Linked DNA regions of Styela clava. The main gene of each other region encodes a partner of the protein of the gene in region 2 in a complex. Links are inferred from orthologs where the notes say so. Each region holds a gene or a part of one and is shown on either strand. Other genes may lie near its edges. The genes, in order: rapamycin-insensitive companion of mTOR-like and target of rapamycin complex 2 subunit MAPKAP1-like.

Region 1 (7,373 bases), on a different chromosome or scaffold from region 2:
AGATTCGCTTGGATTTGATCCAGACCAAACTTTTTTAAGCGTACTCAGCCATCCTAATTTTTTTAGCTCTTCTGTGCCAGCAACAGTTTGAGAAAGCACAGACATACAATAAAAACATGTCCCACGAATTGAATACACAGGAGAATGTTCCGCAAGATCTTGTAAAACCTCCAACACACCAAGATCTTTTATGAGTTCAAGTCCGATTCTGCTGCTGCCAATATGGCACAAGGCCCATAAACTGCTTTTTATTTGAACCAAGTGTTCGGCTATCTTTTGGTAAGAAGATAAATTAAATTCAAAGTTATCTACATCTCCACAAAAGGCTTCATGGATGTGCAAACCATCCTGTAATTTTTGAACTAATCTTGGAACAATATTCCTTTTTTCAAGTAATTCGCATCCTCTTTCATGTTGGCTCAACTCTCCATATAAATGTGAAGGAACATGAACAGGCTGGACAACTTTCTTAATTCCTGATCGTCGCACAAACCCACCTTGTTGAGTAGGTTTTTCATAGCATGTTAGTGAGATATTCAACAGTTCTTCTACTCTTGATACATAGAGATCATTGGCAGAATCCCACCATCGGTCCAACTCTCTCAACAGATATTTATTTGCAGAAAGATACTCAAAACCCAGCGGATGAGACGCAAAACGACAAATTAGCAGCGCTCCTTTTTCACCAAGATGTAGCAAACCGGGACGAAGACCAACAACAACGTTCAAGTATTCATGATCAGCACAAGCCTCATCAAGAACATCAAGTGCCTCAGTGGCAACAGTTTGGCTCGAGTCATAAAGTTGTGTTATTAGTAAATGAACCCCCCAATTGATAAATCCAGGCATTTTAGCTCTAAGTAATATTCGTAAATAGCAAGTTGCATACAATCTTGCTGCTTCATTACAAGTTACAAGAACTTGCTTCAAGAAAAAATAACTCAGACTTTCCCCAGAAAAAGATAAACTTGATATTACAAGTTTTAATAAATTTTCATGAATTTCATCATTTGCGAGTGACGTAAAAAAATCAAACACTCCATTCTTGCGCAAAATTTCACTACCATGGCGCCAAACTGTTAATGCTCCGAGCAAGAGAAAATAGTCCCTTGCACAACTTGATAAAAAAGTGCTTGTTGCCTTTTTCATACCGTCTGTATCTTTTATAAGTTTTGCCAAATATTCGACGATGCTTTTCAACAAAACAGATAATAGTTTCATTCCCTCTCCAGCTGTAGTTGATAAATATCTCACCAAATGGCAACCTGACTGCACATGAGGTTTATCTCCCTCGCCCTCTCTTGCTCTATCAACTTTGTAGAATTCTCCATCACTCGGAATATAAAAAGTAACAAGTCGTTTGATAAAATGGTATTCTGTATCATCAGAGCCAATATAATGAGATTCTCTTGTGTTAACCATCCTTTTAGACCACCCTTCAACAAGAAATGATGTTATTGCTTCCCAATCCCACTTAGTAAAGTCCCTTTCTGCAATGACTTGTGTGTCTTTTATTCTTGTGGATGTCTGTTCGCTAGCGAAGTTACGCACAATTGTAAGGGATCTGTTTCTACGAATTGATAATGTTGTCATGGGCTCATCCGAGTCTTCAACATGGTTTACAGTGAGGCGTCGCAGCGATATAGAAGAGCCAGGCCTAACTGGTGATTCCACTTGGGTTGCCTCTGTTGATGCTTTTTCAGCAGCTTTGACCCGAAGCAATAACTCATCTAAATATACTGTATGCATCGCTGGTCGATTTTTAAGAAAATTATGTATCTTTCTTAACCTACCTACAGCAACACTTGCACGTAAACGCTCTTCTTTACTCACACTCTGTGAAGTTGCTTGTTTCATTAGATCTGGCAAGCATTCTTTACAAGCAGATGAAGCACTAGTCATCCATAATTCCGCCGTTTGTGGCATAGAATGTAATTTATCAGAAAGGTTTAAAATTTTCCCTAGAAGTATACAAGCAATTATAGAGGCACATTCATCAGGACCCATAACCACTGAAACCAAACGCTGTATAATATTGGCTTCAATAAAAATTGAAAGCAGCACAGCCATATAACAATTAGTCAAGTCTAATCGTTCATTATTTAAGCTTGGAAGGAACCATTTTCCTTCACCAACAACAAAAATATTTGTAAGTTGCCAGCTTTCCTGAAAGATTCTGGGACCAATGCTTAGAAGTGATTCAATAAAATCTTCTGAAGCTTTAGGTTCATTTAAGCAGAAGATTTCAAATAATACAGACAAAGTAGCACGTTTAATACCTGCATCAGGAATCAGCAAAGTACTTAAAAAAGATTTTATCGCAGAAGTTTGACAAAGGTGAAGTAGACCAGACCATGAACGAAGAACAGAAACAACCGCCATCTTTGAAGCGGAAAACCTCATTTCTTTTTCTTCTCTTATTTGTGATTCTTCCACATCAGCATGTAGACGGTACATTACGTCAGTATAAGGAGCAAATATCGCATTAAAACTGAATGTCAATTTCAGTAGGTTCCGTGAGGATGGATGATTAAGCATTAATCCAAGGCTTATACACAATGACTCGTTAATCCTTCTGTACATATGGCATTCAAGAACTGCACGTAGCATTACAAGTAGTCCACCATTTTCAATGACTAATGAAGGTTCTAAAACAACAAGTTCACATAAAATCGCAAGACAGGTTCTATAGACACGATCTCTTTCCACAGCTCCATCAGCAGAAATTGACATAATACATAAAGCAAATGATTTAGGAATGATTGACATTTTCGTTTTTTCTCCAGCTTCTCTGCGTTCGATTCTTGCAATGAGAAGAATCTTTCGAATTAGACGCAAACATTGAATTCTCTCGACTTCATTGAAATGACTTATGTCTAGACATTTTATTATAAAACTATCCAAATGAAGTTTTGTCAAAAGTATTACTGAATGTGCATCATTAACTAAATAACGTAAAGCTCGAATGCACGCTGCTCGAACTTCCTTTACTTCAGAAACCAATGCTGGTTTTAGACAAATCATAATATCTTCAATTAAAAATTTAGAAGTCGCGTCTTCACGATTGCATAGTATTTTGATCAAATTGTTCAAATGTGGCAGAGTTTTTGCAGTGCTTCCTCTGCTTTGAATACTTCGAAAAATTGTCATAAGCAATAAATAAGGATCCTGTGTGATATCCAAAGGGATGGTATCTCCAGCATTTTCACGAATACGTCTAGTTCCGTTTCTTGATTGAAAGCTTCTATATCTTGAGCCACTCATTTTGATATTTACACGAAACTATACATATTGAAATAAATCTGTAAGTGATTTAGGAAAAATAAATCTTACGTTATAGTACTTGGTACTATATTAAATAAAATTAGATTTACTTCAAACCTAATCCAGTAATCAGATGCTGAAGTCACAATCTTAAAACAGGATTGGACAGTATTATTATAAATATAAGTTTATTTCGACTCGATAACCAGCATAATAGACGATAAATTAAAAATTTTAGATAAAACAAAAATATATAAAACTGATTATAGTCTAGAATCGGGAGAGCAAACTAAACCAGAATCTAGTGTAGTTTCGTACCTCAAGTGCCGGTACTTCTGTTCTAGCGGGCGTTGCATAACAAGGATAGGATAGGATTTACATATTTATCCCGTGCCAGAGAAAAGTCGATAAGACGGCTTAACCATATGGCGAGCCACGACCTCTCGTCTGATTACTATTCCAGTATTCCATGTCGGGTATGGGATCAGTTAGTAATTTGTTTGTTTCCGGAAGCATGGACTTGATGGTGGAGGAAGCCGTAACCGACCAGCGGTTACATGAACCACCCCACGGCGACGAGGAGTCCAGCAATCCTCTCGCACATGATCATCCCCGCATGGGATTCAAACCTGCGAACCCACAAAGGGTAATCATAGATGCAGTGGCGAGCGTATTCCTAACGCTTAGCATGAAGCGCCACACCGGCACACCGCCAAGCCCATATGCATATGTCAATCCTAACTCCCACCTGACAGCTTCATTTAAAAATTAAGTCACAGTCAGGTAATAAGGCATAATTGTTTTTATCTATTATTTTATCGTCTATTGCTGATTATGGAGTCGAAATAAACTTATACTTATACTTAAGGCCCTTCAAACTATAAAAATTGGGGTCTAGTATAGTTTAGTACCACAAGTACTTCCCGTGGGCGTAGCAATAATTTTGCATATGCTATTCCTAACCCCCACCTGACTATGCCATCCAAAAATTAGGTCACTACGAGTCTACGACCTCACCAACACGATCATCCGCATACTTAGGTGGGCCTTATTGCGCCACTGTGACGTCGAAATGACGTTTTTCGGTGACGTAGTTAGGTGGGGGTTAGGATTGACATATGCAAAAATTGTTGAGCCAGGTCAACTAGAAGTAGAGAAGTACGTGTGGTACTAAACTATACCAGACCCCTAAACTATACCGGTACGGTACCGTAAAACCGGCTAACTTCGGATGCCTTGTAACTTTGCGTCATATTGTGCTTCTGGTAGTTTCTCTAGAGAGTCCTTATATATCTGAATCTGTTATCATGATCAATCGCGCAATTTTATTTATTATTTGATTGAAAAATCACGTTTTAGCAAAAAATTTACACTCCGTTTTCGAGCGGCTCAAATCGTGACTTCTAACTGCGCTAACTTGGTCAAAACACCGTCATTCGATAGAGGGCGTTACCAATGTATTACAAAATTAGACTGATCGCGAGATGTCGCAGGAGACTCGAGAAACGATTAAAATTCAAATTGTCTTTTTACATCAAAATAATAGCATTTGACGCACACATTGAACCGACGTCACCCTGACGTCGCTCGCTTCGAAGACGACGTCATGTTGCGTCGCCGTTACAGATTTGACGCCAGACATTAGGGCGCCGACGAGTTGGCGTATATTTGAAATGACAGCGATATTTTGTTCGGTTGGATCAATATCGGCTAAAATATACACATCAACAGTTTCCTGTGGATCTTAAATTCATGCCGTCAAATGTTGGAAATGTAATTTAATTTATTAAAACGGCAATTAACGAAAAATATTTTCGTTCGATTTGTCGATTCAAATTCCACCATTTGGAACGGCAGCATGGTTTAAAATAGAAAAATTGTAAGCAGTCAAGAAATGTTGCGTGAATATAAAAATATATAATCAGCGATAAATAACAAGAATCATTGTTGCAACACTTGCAAGTGAGTTCCGTTTAATGAATTTAACTAAAGTAATATTTGCCAAATCGGTGTTTTGTCGTGATTTATGCACGGCGGACATTTTAATAGGTCAATTTAGTAAAGAATCCAGTCATATGCATGCTCAATAATATTTATCGTGCGACTATATACGATCTGGAATATACAAACGCTATCCAAACATTATCGGCTATTGCAAAATCGGCTATGATCGGTAGTACGATAAGAGAAAATGAAACTAGACATTTTATTATAAAAACAACTTGAAAGTGCCGCACCAAAAATCCTACGGTCATCATTATCACCGCCACTCGCGACGTGGATTGAACATCTGGAATTTTCGCAACCACGTAAAGCGTGTTTTGTCTTCGCCACGCAATTTTCGCTCGAGTTGCGGTCACGCACGGAGGTGATTCCCCCATCCGAAGTTAGATATTTAGTGGTGTAGTGAAAAATGAGACAATTAAGACAGAAAAAATGATCCGATCGGCGAGAAAATTAAATGCATGTGTAGAGATTGCATCAATGTAATATATTCCAAATATGACGCTAATTGGACAACAAACGGCAGAGATATTGATTGAAGTATAGTGAAACCATCCGAAGTTAGCCGGTTTTACGGTACTAGACCCCCAAATTTTCAATCGTTTACGGTATATCTCGACTAAATTGCGCCATACCGGTATTGTGCTTCTGGCAGTTTCTATAGTGAGTCCTTATATATCTAAATCTGTTATCATATTCGATCGCGCAGTTTAATTTATTTTTTGATTAAAAAAATCGCGTTGTAGCATCCTATCCTAATATTGACACTCCGTTTTCTAGCGGCTCAAATGCACCCAAAATGGTGACTTCTACTGATGAACTTCGTCAAAATACCGACATTCGATAGAGGGCGTTATCAATGTATATAGAAATTAGACTGATCGCGAGATGTCGTAGGAGAACCGATAAATAATTGAAATTCGATTAATTTTTTTATCACAATAATAGCATCTGACGCACACGCTGAACTTCGAAGACGACGTCATGTTGCGTCGCCGTTACAGATTTGATGCCAGACATTCGGGCGCTGACGAGTTGGCGTAGATTTGAAAGTAATAACGATATTCTGTTCGATTGGATCAATGTCGGCTAAAATAAAAGCATCAACAGTTTTTTGTTGATCGTAAATTCATGGCGTCAAGTGTTGGAAATGTGATTCAATTAAATTTTATTGAAAATGGCAATTAACGAAAAGCATATTCATTCGATTTGACGATTTCAAATTACTCCATTCGGAGCGGCAACATGGGTCAAAATAGAAAAATTGTGAGCAGTCGAGAAATATTGCGTAAATATAAAAATATATAACCAGCGATAAATAACAACAATCATTGTTGCAAATGAGTTCCGTTTCGTGAATTTAACGAAAGTAATTTAAATAAAGTTGCCAATTGCCAAATCGGTGTTTTGTCGTGATTTATGCACGACCGATATTTCAATGGGTCAATTTAATAGAGAATCCGGTCATGGGCATGCTTAATAATATATATCGTGCGACTATATATGGCAGGGGTGGGCACAATTTTTTAGTATAAGAGCCGCATGCTGCAAATCAGAACTTTAAATGAGCCGCAAAATTTGTGAATTTATTAATATTATTAAAATACCATGAACAGAAAAGAAATTTACACAAGAGTCTTATAACAATAAATAGATAAATAAGGCAGCTATGCTCAAATATATGCACAATTTGAGCTCATTTAATTTGTGTTTCCTTATTGCTGATTTACGAGGGTAGTCTCGTAAGAAGTTTTCATGATTCGTTCCATGGTGCCGTTTAACATTGCTGACTTTATTCTAATTATTCTGACTTAGTAGCTTATGGCAGATTAACCACAAGAGTTAATTCTCCTGACTGGTAAAAGCGTATTCTTTCTTCTTCCCACCCTGACTTGACAACTCTGTTTTCATCTTCGTATTTTCCTTTCTTAATTGAGGACATATCGCAGAGTAACTCAGACCAATATGATGCGCAACTCCGGCATTTTTGGCCGAAGATCGTATTCGATAGCACGCTCCAATGCACATACTTGACGAGACGAAAACGAGCGGATGTGTGTTGCTTTCAAGGCATAGCACGAATGGTGTTCGAGCCTGCTTCGACA
Region 2 (7,174 bases):
GTTTATCATGTAAATCAAAGTTTCCTGTATTTGTCATCATATTGGTGAGAGCTGGAAATGCTGCCTAATACGAGTATGTTTTTGCAAGAGGCAATAAAATTTTAATTGTCTTTCCTGACAGAAATGGATTCAGGCATTCATCGGCAATGCTCAACCAAAGGACGCATTGCAATCAATCATTAAAGATCGATCACATTCTTTTCATATCGTCATGGACCCTTGGTGAAGCCATTGCGTGGTTTGGGAAACCCTGATGTAAAGAGAGCTATTGTGCTATAGTAATTTCAAAATGGTTTATAAATAGATGGCTATTCTATACTTTACAGAAAATGTTAATTGAAATTTCACAAATATTTTACTATTCTCGACTGATTAACCAACCAACCAACCTATTATTGCAAAGCACAAATAAATTCATAAATAGAATTGATATTGAATTGCCTCTATGCCTCAAGCGCCATAGAAATCTAAAGTATACCTCGGTTATCTTTGGGTTCTTTTTTCTCCAAGGCACATTGTTTACTTTGACTCTACTTTGTCTCTCTTTACGAATTCTCTCAAGTTTCTGAGCGGTGTTTGATCGTCTACGAACCCCAAAATCCCAACCTGTAGAATAATACATTTGTTTAGCTTTCATGCCGTGCATCAACTCGGTTAAAATGCAAAACCAATCGTAAAAATGATGGATTTTTAGGATTTTGTAGATGTACAGAATATGTAGGTTCAACTTCCAGATACAATGATTATTGAAAAATACTGCTGTATCATATTTGACTATTACTAACATAATCGTTTATAATGGAACAAATAATATTTTTGTCCAATTAGTTATATTTATAAATGTTTCAATTATTAAATTTCTGTGGTATGACAAAAATAACAGTTGACAAAACAATAACTAGGTATACAGGCAAAACTAAATATCGAAAAAAAATTTGTTCAGATAAGGTGAAAATAAGAAAGTTATAGCTTGTTTATATTTAGCCTCCATACGTATCATATTGATCTATACTACCATGTTCTTTTGTTGCGACAGATTAAAAGTGAAATCGCCTATTTGGAAAAAAATGCTTTCAACACCAGTAGTATCATCTATAACCATTTATCAGATTTGGCCATCAACCATACTGGATTCCATGGCAGGTGCACACCAGAGGGCGCTAGCACTCCGCAAAAATGCACGCCAGCAAATTAAATTTTGCACGCCGAAAAGTTGCAATTGCTCACCAATGAAAATTGATTTAAATGGCTTTTAAATTAATAATCCAGTAATATAAAGATGCCAACAAATTGTAGCTCCACAATTGTCGACTATATACTAGCTTGCAAGATTTCGCCTGATCGAAAAATGCGAAGCAATAAAGACCGTATTACAAAATTGCTTAGCGGTATGGCGTATCGTGTTGAATGATAGGAATCCCGTGAGAATAGTTATGGACGAAAAGATCGCCAGACTTGCCGGCGCTGGTCAGTTACGGCTCTGATTCTACATATTTTTTATACAATAATTTTACACGGATGTACCTAAAGTCTATCTAAAGTTGCACAAACACTCTCAAAATTAGTGACGAAGTATAGTAATAATATTCGGGGTCAAAGGTCGAATGTCCATTTTGTTCTGATTCAACATATTTTCTATCCAATAACTTTACGGGGATGTACTGAACAGTATCTAAAGTCGAAAATCATTGCACGCGGGCACAGTTGTTTTGCACGCTGTGAGCTATAATTGCAAGCCGGGAATTCAGATTTGCACGTGAGAATTTCTGATTGCACAGCCGATTTCTCGTTCAAAAAGGCCATGAAATCCAGACTGGGCCATCAAAACCCTCTATACAATGAAAACAATTCTGTCCTTCAACATATAGTACTTCCTCATGTATCAGTAGTAGCTCATGAAGGTAAAAAAGCCTCATGAAAAATTTCAAACCAGAAAGAATATCAGGTGATGGAGCAAGAGGAGAAAGTGCTTCAGATGAATCAGCATCGATAACAGGATTAGAAGATGAAGTAGTTGACGATTCTGATGGTGTTCTTCGAGGAGATCCAACAGGTGTTGATCTTCCAAATGATTCAGGTAAACCTTTTTTCTGGAATATCAATGATATTCTGTAAATATCTTGTATTATTATTATTGGGTCTTTTGTCAATCAATCCTTCATTCCATACTGGACCATACACAACAACGAGTTTCTATGTCTTTAGCGTTTGACCCACTATACAAAATATACTATGTTAAGATATTATTTTGAAACTTACTAAAAAAACAGAAATAAGCGAAATGACACAATATTTATCATATAGATCCAGATGAACTAAGCCATTATTGCATTTATTTTATCATAAATACAAGTTCAGAAGTTAAGATACCGTACTCAAGATAAATACAGAAATAGGATACCTATCAAATAAAACAGCTGTTCCCCTACCTCAACAATGACTGTTCATAAGAAATCAAAAGCTAAATTTGCAATAATACCAGAACGTCTGAACGAAGAGACATCAATTTCAGAAATTTTTATTGTTTGAATTTACTAGAAAATTTAAACTTACTTGATTCTTTTTCGCCCTTTCAATGCGCTTAGCTTCTTTTAACTCTTTAATTCTCAACCTGTGTTGTGACAGTGTCATCATATCGTTGTCCTGAAGAACCATTTCGCACATTCCTGTGTCATCGCTTGTAATGAAGGAATGGCGAATGTGATCCAAGAGCCAGTCTGGATTGTCTAACATCGCCATGCTTTGGTAAAATAAATACCAGCATTTGTTATCTCATCAAGAATTTTCCCGCGTCGCTAATGAATAGAAAATCAAAAAGAGCACAAGCAAACCCAAACTCATGAACTCTCTCGCCGGTTCGCACTCGCGTAATTTTCTTATTTCAGTGTCTTTTAGTCTTCGAAGCCAGACTGACAACACCGCGGTTTTCCCAGAGGTGCATCGAGTCTCCATATACTGTATTAGGAGTCATAACATTTCAAACCGTGCGCGACTACCCGCCTGTGATGAAACCATTAAACTGTTTCCATCCTTCCCTTTCTTTTAGCCAAATATGAAAGCCCCTATTCGCTTTAATTATTGAAGTTGACAATTGCTTACATTCACCAATATCAATAAACGACCGGCAGTTAAAATCTGGTGGAATTGTTACTCTTTAGGATTTACCGCCGTTTTCCTTTCCCACCATTTAGCGGCCTTTTCGCTCTACCGTTCAAGCTGTTTTAATCGTAAATATATACTACTAATATGCGAAAAACACATCCAATTTTTTGTATCTCACTGTCAACGCTAAATAAACCAAGCTGTAATTCCAAGGACGTTTATTTGAAGCGATTCACTTTAAAATACAAGAAAAATAAAATATTTAGTCCGTTCCAAGTTCAAACAAACACTGGGCTCAATACAAGCGAGTACAGTGCACAATTACCTATACGTCTTGCAAGCAGGGTCAAGCATTAAACTCAATATGAAACCTTTCAAGGCACACTATCAATTCCCACATGAGTTCTCACGAAAATGTATATATTCATATAGACCTATGAATTAGTGACACTGTGACGACACTTATAAAACAAGAGAGCTATGCTCAAATATATGGACACATAATTTGGATGACGTCATAGCGAAAAAAAAAGTAATAGCCTTCTGGAGTAATTTTTCATCTTCAACCACTGAAAATTTCAAAGCAATTGGTCCAATATTCGAAGAGAAAAGCGATTTCTTCAAAACGTGTTAACGGAGACAAATAATAACAATAACAACAAAATTTTGAAACGATTGTTATGTCCACTACGTGTCCAACAAGTGAATATAACTGAAGATCATTAGCATCTAGGCCTTGGCCAACAAGAATCCTTCAATGTGATTTTAAAATATTATAAACACTCAAGTTCTATGTAAAAATCTTTTTTGCTTGCATTTGACCAATCATAATTAGGCTTGTACTCAAACACAGACGTTTATAGGAGTGAATATGAATGAAATATTTTGTCCCATGCCATTACAATTGATACCCAACCCCAATTGACCCATAAATGTCTTTGGAATGCTGACTGGAAAAGATGAACAGCAGGGGTTGTTCAAATAAAAATGACTTTTCTAGAATGGGATTTTCACACATACAGAATAGAACAAACATTTTATTATTCAAGGCATTTTTCTTTCTCACACTTTGTAAAACTTGTACACTGCACCATTGAAGATAAAATTTTTCATATAACAAGAGATTTTAGCATGTCCTAATTTAGGAATTTTGTTTAAAAGCCAATTGCTAATGTATTTTCAGTTTGTCAACACAGTTTACATAGCAATAGCCAAGAATGAAATGTAACTCAATGATGAGAACACTCCCTGGCATGCACAGAGCTGCATACGTACTGACAAAAATTTTCTAAATAGATACGACACACCAAAACTGAAGGCATTGTTTTTATAAAACTAAATATTTTTATATTTAAGACTGTTGTAACATGCATGGAAGAGCTTCAACCAAACCACTGGAGTTGGAACATAAATCAAATGAAAAGTGCTGAGCAATCTGAATGGAATCAAGGCTTCCCATTGAATGTAGCTCCAGCACAGTTCTCAAGCTTTTTTTCTAATACATAGGCATCGGAAGGCTCTATTCTTTTGTAATAATGGCTTTCAGTTTGAACAATTTCGAAACCGAATTTCATGTAGAAATCCAGAGCAGATTGATTATTGACTTGAACGTGTCTGAAAATAATAATCATAAACAGGAGTTAGTAGAAGCGCTTGAAACAAAAAATGTCATGAATTCATATTCAAGGTTAGAATAGTCTTGGCATGAGGAGCATTATTGAAAGTGTGGAATAGGTTGAATAGTTGATAATATTAAACTAGAATTCTCCAAAATTAACGAGGTATTCTTGAAAAAAAAATAAACAGCCCAAACCTTTGAGAATACACATTTGTTTCTAAACAACAGGAAATAAAATACTCACAAAAATATTGCTGTAATATTTTTATCAGCTTCACATATTTTGAAGACATGGTTGAGCAATACTGTACCAACACCATGTCTTCTGTAAGGTGCTAAGCAACCAAGCGTCATTATGTATAATCTCCTTTTTCCTTTTGAATTATCTATTCGACAACATACTGCACCAACCACTATATCATTGAAAAATGCTGAAAAACAGTATTTTCAAATGCCAAATACACAGATTTTCAAGTGTAATATAAGGATAGGATGGGATTTACATATTTATCCAGGGTGAGAGGAAAGCCGATAAGACGGCTTAATATATGGCGAACCACGACCTCTCGTCTGGTTACCATTCCATGTCGGGTATGGGATTAGTTACTTATTTGTTTTCGGAAGCATGGACTTGATGGTGGTGGAAGCCGCAGAGGTGCAGTGGCGAGCGTATTCCTACCACTTAGCATGATGAGCCACATCGCCGCGCCATATAACTTCAGTCTCTTATGAAAATAAGGAAAATTTAACTATCAAAATATGCCAATTCGCTTATAATTTGTGTGGTATAAATTATCAGTTTTGGACATTAGTGATTTGAATGAAAAAACATCATCTTACCGAGCTTTGCCAAGTCTCCAACATCAAGAACATCTTTATAAAATTTGTCATTGTATGAAACTGGAAAAATAACTTGATTCAAGAGTTTCAATTGTTTTATATTGTGTTGTGTGATATCTCCCAGTTCAATACGAACTCTAAAATAAAAAAAATTAATAATAATTTTAAATAAATCGAACAAATACTCAAAGATACATATAATTCCATGCATCTAACAGTGAAATGTACCAGAAAGCTTTGCACCAAACAGCAAGGTGCCACCAAAGATGCTAAGGATGACAAATTGATATATATTCATACTATCTCAGTAAAAGATGACCATAATATTACACAAGGTAATTCTTTGATTATTCGACAATCCATGTCAGGCTTGCAGATGTATGGATGTTGACATTACAGGGAGGGAACATAAATAATCAGTTTGTATGCATAAGAGTGATGTAACAGAACAGAAAGAAACCTTTGGTGAAATCTGGACATGGGTCAGTAGTGCAAGATTTTCGATTAACAAATTGAAAATAATAGCTTACCCATCCATTGCAGTAGGAACTAACAAATTCTTCATTGAAATTTCAAACGCTAGTTAATTTTCCACAGACCTTCACTGCAGTTGACGTCGATGAACAAGATTGTTGACAATTGTTTCACAATTAGACAATAAATAGTATGAATTCTAAAATAAGGGAATCGAAAAAAAAAAAATTTGAATACACAAAACTCAGTAAGAACATATAATCAGGGTCTCAACATTTTTCTGAGTAATGGAAGAACCAATTCACCAACACAAGCTATGGACAATATTCATGGTGACCCCATGAGTCCTGCGGCACTACGACGAATGCATTTCTATAGCGTTTCTTCTGACCAAAGTCATACTTTTCCAGACAAGCATACTTCAACAATGACAAAAATAATGATAGCATGCACATGAATAATGGTCATCAATTGTTGAATTTTGTTTCCAATAGTGAGAAAAAAAAATTGTGGACTCTCCAAGAACAATAGGGAAGTAAGTTAAAATGTAAGGAAATGTAGAGACTACTAGATCAAAGTCTTATTTGAGATTTTGTAACTTTGCCTTGGACAAATATTTCATTAAAAATCCAATTGAAACAGAGAAACAAAAATCAGCATAAGGTAAGAAAATTGTAAATGAATAAAACATGAACGATTTTCATTTCACCTTTTTTGCAAGTTTGTATATTATCAGATTGTAGATAAGTATACAGAAATATATGCATTTACAAACACATGATAGAGAAAAACTAATAAAATACACTGATTGAATAGTTGGTATGACCAGTGGCTTTCAACAATTTTGCATTTATTGATAAAAAAAAACAAATGTTCATACATAAGTGACACAAAATCCAAATGAATAAAACAGATTATAACAATACCTTTGTTAAGCAGTGCTGTTATATATATAATATATATATAATCTAATACTTTGCTTTATTATTCATTGAATTTAAATCAACAAATTCACAAGCAAGATTTTTGCTACTGTTTTTATACCAGTGTTGTAGAACCAAATTAGTAGTAGGCCTAGTAACTTCATTTCATCTTATCTGTCAAGGTAATAACTATATGGATAGTGACAAATATACAAGA

The links.
Region 1: the proteins of target of rapamycin complex 2 subunit MAPKAP1-like (region 2) and rapamycin-insensitive companion of mTOR-like are in contact, whole or in part, in a cryo-EM structure (PDB 7PE7), measured with the Homo sapiens proteins. The link is inferred for Styela clava from reciprocal best matches to the Homo sapiens genes MAPKAP1 and RICTOR. Residues at the interface, in NP_001006618.1 of Homo sapiens: Ala2, Phe3, Leu4, Asp5, Asn6, Pro7, Ile9, Ile10, Leu11, Ala12, His13, Ile14, Arg15, Gln16, Ser17, His18, Thr20, Ser21, Asp22, Asp23, Thr24, Met26, Cys27, Met29, Val30, Leu31, Ile32, Asp35, Val36, Ser84; in NP_689969.2 of Homo sapiens: Arg108, Gln137, Glu140, Thr144, Leu147, Arg148, Arg151, Lys152, Thr155, Arg182, Met183, Arg185, Ala186, Ala189, Cys192, Glu193, Leu196, Leu220, Arg222, Ile223, Glu225, Ala226, Leu227, Thr229, Thr230, His233, Asn236, Arg293, Trp295, Glu844.

The regions. Positions count from the first base shown.
Region 1 is NC_135255.1:15,845,978-15,853,350, forward strand, and holds the start of rapamycin-insensitive companion of mTOR-like, read right to left. Parts: upstream 3,299-7,373; 5' UTR 3,265-3,298; coding exon 1-3,264. UniProt on the Homo sapiens protein: Component of the mechanistic target of rapamycin complex 2 (mTORC2), which transduces signals from growth factors to pathways involved in proliferation, cytoskeletal organization, lipogenesis and anabolic output.
Region 2 is NC_135251.1:20,788,951-20,796,124, reverse strand, and holds the start of target of rapamycin complex 2 subunit MAPKAP1-like, read right to left. Parts: upstream 3,091-7,174; 5' UTR 2,740-3,090; coding exon 2,554-2,739; intron 2,091-2,553; coding exon 1,931-2,090; intron 607-1,930; coding exon 479-606; intron 1-478. Other genes in the region: N-alpha-acetyltransferase 50-like, read right to left, coding at 4,548-4,716, 4,965-5,151, 5,561-5,697, 6,091-6,125. UniProt on the Homo sapiens protein: Component of the mechanistic target of rapamycin complex 2 (mTORC2), which transduces signals from growth factors to pathways involved in proliferation, cytoskeletal organization, lipogenesis and anabolic output.